2 linked regions of the Sus scrofa genome follow. The protein of the gene in region 1 purifies or fractionates together with the protein of each later gene. This does not show direct contact. Links are inferred from orthologs where the notes say so. Each region holds a gene or a part of one and is shown in the gene's direction. Other genes may lie near its edges.

Region 1 (4,477 bases):
CTGGTGCTCTCTGGGGCCCCCATCTGTCCCTGTCCCTCCACCTTCGTGGCCTCACCACACCTGGGCCTGCCCCTCCGTCAACATCAGTGTCCCCTGGGGGTGGCCCTGCGCCCTGCTATCCTGGAGACCTCACCCCTCCGTGGGAATGGGGCCCCTGAGCTTTGAGACTGCTCAGAAGAGGAGCCTGATGGTAGCATGGACTCCGGCTGCATTGGTCTGACTTGCCCTTGTGGCTCATGTCAGGGTGACATCAGAGGCTCACACACGTGTTCAGTCAGTTTTCCCTTCTCCCTGGGCCCTGTGCTGTCCACCCCACCCTGGCCCCAATCCCTGCTCAGCATTTCCTCGCTCCCGGGAGCCATCCTTCCCTCCCCCACCCCCACTTATCTGGCAGCCCAGCCCCCAAGCCTACCTAAGTCTAAAAGTGTTCCCTACCCCTGCCGCCCTCCATTCTCGCACATTCACATTCTTCTTAGAAAACATATAATACAATACATATAACCGAAAACACACTCTCCTGACTGTTTTTGAGGGGCAGTGAGCGTACCCATCATTACCATGGCGGCACAATCAACTCCGGACGACTTCATCCTCCCCACCTGAAACTCTCCCCATTACACACTCACTCCCCTCCTGCAGCCCCATTCTACTTTCTGCCTATGAATTTGGTTCCTCTGGTATCTCCTGCAGGTGGAACTGTACAGTATCTGTCTTTTGGTGATTTCCCTAAGCGTAATGGCTGCAGGGTTCATCCACATTGCAGCATGTGGCAGAATTCCCTTCCTTTTAAAGGCTGAATAACATTCCCTAGTATGGATGGACCACATTTTGCTCAACCATTCGGACGCTGATGGACACCTTCCCCAGCTGCTTCCACATTTTGGCCATCGTGAAGAACGCTGCTGTGAGCATGGGTCTACAGATATCTCCTGGAGACCCTGGTTTCAATTTGGATACATACCCAGAAGTGGCATCTATGCTTCTGTAAGTTTATTTACTATAATCTATAAGTAAATCCATGCTTAATTTTTGAGGAACCTCCACATTGTACCATCTTACAGTCCAGCCAACAGTGCACAGGGCTTCCAATCACCCCCCCTCCTTGCCAGCGTTTGCTGTTTTCTGGGGTTTTGACAGCGGCCATCCTGATGGTGTGGGCGGTGTCTCGGTGCTGTTTGGTTTGCATTCCTTTAAGGATCAGTAATGTGGAGCATCTTTTCATGGGTTTCCTGGCCATTTATGCATCTGCTCTGAGAAACGTCTATTCAAGTCTATTTTTCAATCAGACTCCCTGTTTTTTTCGTTGTTGCACTTTAGGAAGTCTCTATACATTCTGGAATATTAACTCCTTATCAGACATATGGTTTACAATATTTTCTCCCATTCTGCGAGTTGCCTTTTCACCCCGTTAGCCACTCACCTCCTTTAATAGGTACTTCTTGGGCACCTGTCTGTGCCAGGCCCTTAGGGCTAAACTGTGGCCACGGGCCACCGTAAAGTCATTGAGCAGCTTCCCTCGTGTGCTGACAGGCAGACGAAACCCTTTCCCCACCGGCCTGGACCAGGGCCAGCCCTGCGGGTAAAGAAGAACGGAGGAGCGAACCATAGAGTTGAAGGTCCTCCGGAGTCTAGACTGACCAGAGGGCGAGAGGAAACCATAGAGTCTGCGGCCCTCCTGCGTCTAGACTTGCCACGCAAGGCGTGCACCGGAAGAGGCCGTCGGCGGGCCGGAAGTGGATCGGGAACGCCCGGGGCTGCAGGAGGAGATGAAGCCGGCGGTGGACGAGATGTTTCCCGAGGGCGCAGGTCCCTACGTGGACCTGGACGAGGTGAGGCGGGCGGCGCCGGGCGGCGGGCGGGCGGGCGGGCGGCGAAGCCAGGGCCTGTTCTCGGGCGCGCCGGGTCCGGGGCGAGAGGAGGAGGCGGCCTGCGCGGCCCGCTCGCGCTCCCGCGGTTCCTTCCTCTAAGGGAGAATTGGGGCCGGGATGTCTGCGGCCGGGGTTGCGGTGAGGACCCGCAGGGACGCCCGGGGGAGACCCTGGGGACCGGGTTGAGCTCCTGTCAGGCGGTGGAGGTGGAGGTGGGCCCGCTCGGAGTTGCCTGCAGTCGGGCGGTGGGAGTGAGCCCCTAGTGGGGCGTCTGGAAGGAGGGGAGACCAGAGCCCGGCTGGCGCGCGGCACTTGGGCGAGAAGCGGCCGCCAGCCTGGGAGGCGGAGGAGAGGCCGTTTGGCAGGTACGTGCCCCCTGCGGTGCCCGCTCTCCTCCCGCTGTGACCGGCGTTGTGAAGTGGTCCTGCGTTTTCGTTTACCCCATCCTGTGGTCACGGGGCGTTCCTGTCCGGTGTTGGTGCTCAGTGAGCTCGGCGTGTCCGGCCAGCTGCTCGGCGTCAGGGCCTGGATTTCTCTCTCAAAGCTCAGGGGGTGGGGGACAGACCCAGCCTGTGTTCCCCTGGAGCTCATGGTGGGACAGAGAAAGGCGGCCTGCAAGTACGAAGCATGGGAGAAGGTTGGCGGTGCAGGTCGATGGAAGCCCCCGGGGGCTTTGGGGTGACCCAGCAAGGGCTTAGGAGAGCAGCTGACTGCAGCCGCATCCTGAAGCCGTGCTGGGGGGAGAAGGCCTGGAAGGAGCCACCCTGAAGGGGTCTAAGGGAAGGAAGGCCCTGTGATTTAACACGGAGGCTCCTCAGGTGCCTGGAGAGAGAACGGGATGGAGCTGGGGAAGGGGGCAGGGGTGGCTGCGCTGGGACGGGTGGGTCTCCTCTCCACTCAGGCACTTCCACTAACCCCCTGCTTCTCAGTCCTGTGTTACAGTCCCTGCTCTAGGCCCCGGGGCTGGGGTGGGGGGTGTCACCCGGGGCCTTGCAGTGGGGCGTGATGATCTCTGACGGGTTTGCAGGACGGTCGCTCAGGAGAGCTTGGGGGTGGGAGAGTGGCACCATGCAGACGAATGAAGGCGACCCCTCAGGTGGGAGTGGGGACAAGCTCCACCGGCCGTCCCTGGCGGGGTCTGCATGGCTTGCTGTGGGGTGGGCGGGGGAGGGAGGCCCTGAGAGTTCTGGTTGCTCAGAGCAGCTGTGAGAGGGGACCCAGAGGTGCTCAGCTATTCCAGCCAGGAAGAGGCGGAGCCCACAGCCTTGGGGATGCTGGGGGTCATGGTAGCAGCAGGAACCTGTGGGCCGGGCGTCCAGGGTGCCGCCACCAAAGGACTCTGGTCACCCGTCACGGAGTGACGTTAAGTGCCTCAAACCGCTCATCAGATCGCCCGCGTCTGGCCATGGCATTGTTTTATGGCTGCCAGAGCCCCGGTCCGCAGGTTGGTTTCGCGAGGGAAGTGGTTCACGTCTCACGGCAGGGAGCGTCTCAGAGCAGAGAGATCGCCGGGCTCAGTTTTGCGCACAGCCGGGCCTCTGTGACGACGGCCAGTAGGGCGCTGAGCCCTCTTCTCGAGGTTTACACAGAAGTGGTGCCACTGGGGGCAGTGGCAGGTGTTTATTGAAAAGGGGAGGGGGGAACCTAGGAACGAAGACTGAGCAGCCCTTCACAGTAATTCCTGCAAGTGCCGTCTCCCCCACCCCCTGCAAGTACTGCGTATGGGAGAAGGTTGGCGGTGCAGGTCCGTGGAAGCCCCCGGGGGCTGTGGGGGGACCCAGCAAGGGCCTAGGAGAGCAGCTGACTGCAGCCGGCTCCTGAAGCCGTGGGACTAAATCCTTCCCCTGCGACTACACTTCGTCTCTGACCTGGACACTTTCTGCCGGGGAGTGGGGGCCTGTGAGCCACTGTCACTCATCCTCTTGGGGACGCCGCTGACATAACCCTTCTGTCCGTCCGCAGGCAGGAGGCAGCACCGGGCTCCTGATGGACTTGGCAGCCAATGAAAAGGCAGTTCATGCAGACTTTTTTAATGGTAAGGATGCGGGTTGGGCGGCCAGTTTCAGCCCGTGCTTCCTCTGCAAGGGGTGCAGAGGAGCAGTTTTGGGACGTGAGCGGCTTGGGCCACAGGCCCGGCAGGCCCAGGTCCCGTGCCCTTCTGGGAACTCGGCACAGTCCCTATCAAGCGGGCAGCTGTGTGTCAAGAGGAGAAGCTCCTGCTCTCAGGTTCCGTCTGTCGGGTCTGAGCCGGGTCTGAGCCGTGCGCCCGCGTTCAGACGCCGGAGATGCTCGCAGGGTCTTTCCGTCTGGCCGCCTCGCCTGCCCCCGCTCCCCGATGGCCGGTCTGCTTTCCTCTCCCCATTTGCCGTTCGTCGCGTCCCCTTGGCTGCCTGTGGCAGGGACAGCCACCCTCCTGCTCTTTCCTGCTCGCCTCTGGACCCGCAGCCATGCCCCCAAGGCCAGTTCCCAGAACACAGTGCAGTTGTACCAAATAAACAGTGAAGGGCTGGCTTCGTAGGAGATCTTCATGCACCTTTGAGGGGCATGGGCGGCAGGCCTCAGGCCACCTCGTCCCAGGGGTGCGGGGAGCTGCTCCCTGCGAGAGAGCC
Region 2 (3,811 bases), on another chromosome or scaffold:
GGGAACTAATTTTGGTTGAGTTTCCCATTTTCAAACCTCAAGTAATAGGTAAACCACTATTTTATTTATTTATTTATTTATTTTTTCACTTTTCAGGGCCACACCTGGGGCATGTGAAAGTTCCTAGGCTAGGCATCAAATCAGAACTGCAGCTGCCAGGCCTACACCACAGCCACAGCAACAGGGGATCTGAGCCACATCTGCATCCTACAGCATAGCTCACGGCAATGCTGGACCCTTAACCCAATGAGCAAGGCCAGGGACTGAACCTGCATCCTCATGGATACTAGTAAGGTTCTTAGCCTGCTGAGCCGTGACAGGAACTCCAGACCCATATTTTAGAATGACTTGTACCTTAGATTCATTTTTATTTTCTTAACACTTAACCAGAAAATATTTATCTCATTAAATAAGTGTTACATTTTGTCTTTCAGTCTTTTTAATTTTATGGCTGCATCCGTGGCATGTGGAAATTACCCAGTCAGGGATTGAATCTGAGCCACAGATGTGACCTGTGCCACAGCTGCGGCAACACTGGCTCCTTTAACCCACTGTACCCAGCCAGGGATCTAACCCACACCTCTGCAGCTACCTGGGCCTCTGCAGTTGAATTCATAACCCACTGCACCACAGCAGGAACTCCTGTCTGTCAGTCTTGATGGTGTCTCCCCTGCTATTTGATTACCTGTGAAGGTGCCAGATGATTCTTTATTTTAGCTTATTCAGATCACAGTCTCTTCATATTTCCTTAATTTGGTATAATTTTAAACCTGATATCCTTCAGATTAAAAACCTTAAAATCCATCCCACCATCCAAAATCCCAAGTGTACAATTTAGGTACTTTCACTCTGAGGACTGTTGCTGAGGAAAAATTGTATGTGTGCCCTCTTGATTCTGTTTTTATTTTCATTTACTTCTCAAATTGCAGAGAAGTCATAGACCATTTTAAGTGTCTTTTTTTGAATTCCCATTGTGGCTTGACGGCATAGGCCGGCAGCTGTACCTCTGATTCGATCCATAGCCCAGCACTTTCATATGCTGCAGGTTCGCCTTCCCCCCAAAATTGATTAATTGATTAGGTATCTTTTTTTCTGTAAAGTATATCAAGAATTAAGACAATAGAATAGTTTAATAAAAATGGTATGGGTTTATTCTCAGGTAGATGTGTTTATCTGTATGTTTGACCCTAGTAGTCTAGTATATATACAAGTAAACCCTGCAATCTTATTTTATCAAGAGCCAATATTTCAACTGCATGACATAAAAGAATTGTTTATTTTTTTCCTTGGCAGATAATGATCAGAAGCATTTTTTTGTTTCTGGATAGGACTTACGTTCTTCAGAATTCAATGCTACCCTCCATTTGGTAAGGATGCCAGAAAAAAATTGAAAAGATTTTTTTCAAATCATAATCAAATCTTAATTACACTAACAGAAGAGAAGAAATGATGCTGTGTATATTCTCCTAAAAATTCACATTTGGCTTCTAGACTTGGATTTATAGCAGTTTTATCTTTTTAATTATGTCTTGCTTCTGGTGATATTGGAGGGCTAACATTCCCTCACCAGGTAATAATTTATGATGGGTTTTTTTGTTATCCAGGGGATTAAAGTTTGCTCTGGTCTGTCTGTGCATGATTTTGTTGCTGATCAAGAGTCACTCATTATCTTTTAACATTATCGTGGAAAATTCCCTGTATACACCAAAATAGAAGAGTTTAATGAGCTCTTCCCCCCACCACATGCCTGGCATTTACCTTTGGCAATTATCAGACAGTTTACTGTTTTTTGAGTACTGAAGCCAGATGACAAATGAGCAATTAAGCCTTCATTACCAGTACAATGAAGACCATTTTATAGCTTTGGACTAATTTTCTCTTTTTTTGACCAAGGAAGAAATCCACTAAAGAAAATAATACAGCAAAATTTAGTTATGGAGGAACATGGGAGTTTAGCTTCAGTTTTCATTAAAGACAAAATGAGTTTCCTGTATGCCTTAATTTAATAATGTTATTTACAATTAAATGTGTGGGTTTTATCCTTTTACAGTTGCTGCTTCAAAGCCTGGAACCCTAATTAACATGTGGTGAGAAATTAAGCAAGCTCTCCAGAAGTGGTATTGTTGTCAATTAATTAATTTATATATGTTTTTTTGTTTGTTTGTTTTAGGGACATGGGACTGGAGTTATTCAGAGCTCATATTATTAGTGATCAGAAAGTCCAGAATAAGACAATTGATGGCATTCTTCTTTTGATTGAGAGGGAAAGGAATGGTGAAGCAATTGATAGAAGTTTACTCCGAAGCCTTTTAAGCATGCTCTCTGATTTGCAAGTAAGTTAATGACTTCACTTACTACAGAGCTGATTGGTATCCTTAGCTTGATGTTTAAAAACCAAATTCATAGTACTATTCACATAGAGAACATTTAATAATAACATTTATTGAATAATTGAACTTTATTTTGTTACCCTCTCCCAGATTTATCAGGATTCTTTTGAACAACGATTTTTGGAAGAAACTAACCGACTCTATGCAGCTGAAGGCCAAAAATTAATGCAGGAAAGAGAGGTATTTAAAAATCACGATTAAGAAATCCACTATGTCTCACAAGACCCTATTTTATAGAATATAAGCTGCCCTTTGCATTTATCTTCCCAACATTATGCCGCTTTTCTCTCAGTTGCTCCCTTCTTTTCTTTCTTCTTAAAGGCCAGAATTCTGGATCATAAACTCTACCCATAATTTTACATATGATTCACCCCTGTCACATTTGACAGGGCTGCTCCCAGGATCTTTTGGACTTAACATTTTCTGAATGATTTGTGGGGAGGAAAAAAATAATATAAAAAAACTATCTTTGTAGGTTCCTGAATATCTTCATCATGTTAACAAACGTCTAGAAGAAGAAGCAGACAGACTTATTACTTACTTAGATCAGACCACCCAGTAAGTATTACATGCTCAGCCTAATAGCCTTAACCTATGTTGTTGAATCACCTAAGGCTCTTTGGGTGATTCAACATGTTAGTAACTATTTTCAGGTGTGACTTGAGACTTTAACAATGTTTTCATAATACAGTTATTGTCCCTAGTTAATTAGATTTAATCAATGATTTGATTATTGGTTATGTGTATGTATTTAGGACAGTAATTTTAAAAAGTTACAACCTGATGTGATCTTTGAAATGTTGGGTCAATTAAAATTCAGTGGGTGCAGGACTTCCCTGGTGGCCTATAGGTTAACTACAGTGGCGTTTTTACTGCTGCAGCTCTGGTTCAATCCCTGGCCCTGGAACTTCCCCCTATACCTGGGTTCAGCCAACCGAAACAAACATTTTAGGAGTTTCCTTGTAGCTGAGCAGGTTAAGGATATGGTGTTGTTACTGCAGCGCCTCGGTTGCTGCTGTGGCATGGGTTCGATTCCTGGCCTGGGAACTTCCACATGCCACGGGCATTGCCCAAACAAAACAAAACAAAACAACCCAAATTCAGTGGGTGTTCATAGAAGAAGAAAGTATTTCTGTGCTTTCCTAAATATTACCAACCCAGGAGAACCTGTAAGCAGCATAGATAAATTCTTTACTTTCCTAATAAAACCAGAGAAATTTGGGGGAAAGCCACAGCAAGACTGTGAAAGTATTTATTTCATGCTGTTACAAAATTCTGAAATATGATTCCCCCCCCCAGGAGAGGCTGTAAATTTTTAGCAAAGTCAAATGTCAATAATTCTAATTTTTTTTGTAGGAAGTCATTAATTGCTACTGTAGAGAAACAACTTCTAGGTGAACACTTAACAGCAATTCTTCAGA

Evidence for each region.
Region 2: the proteins of COPS9 (region 1) and CUL4B purify together in Homo sapiens (affinity purification with mass spectrometry; 3 studies listed by BioGRID and IntAct, with this or other methods). This does not show direct contact. The link is inferred for Sus scrofa from reciprocal best matches to the Homo sapiens genes COPS9 and CUL4B.

Annotation. Positions count from the first base shown.
Region 1 is NC_010457.5:139,261,450-139,265,926, reverse strand, and holds the start of COPS9 (COP9 signalosome complex subunit 9), read left to right. Parts: upstream 1-1,674; 5' UTR 1,675-1,766; coding exon 1,767-1,829; intron 1,830-3,830; coding exon 3,831-3,903; intron 3,904-4,477.
Region 2 is NC_010461.5:98,688,939-98,692,749, reverse strand, and holds part of CUL4B (cullin-4B), read left to right. Parts: intron 1-1,293; coding exon 1,294-1,367; intron 1,368-2,170; coding exon 2,171-2,333; intron 2,334-2,480; coding exon 2,481-2,570; intron 2,571-2,865; coding exon 2,866-2,948; intron 2,949-3,746; coding exon 3,747-3,811.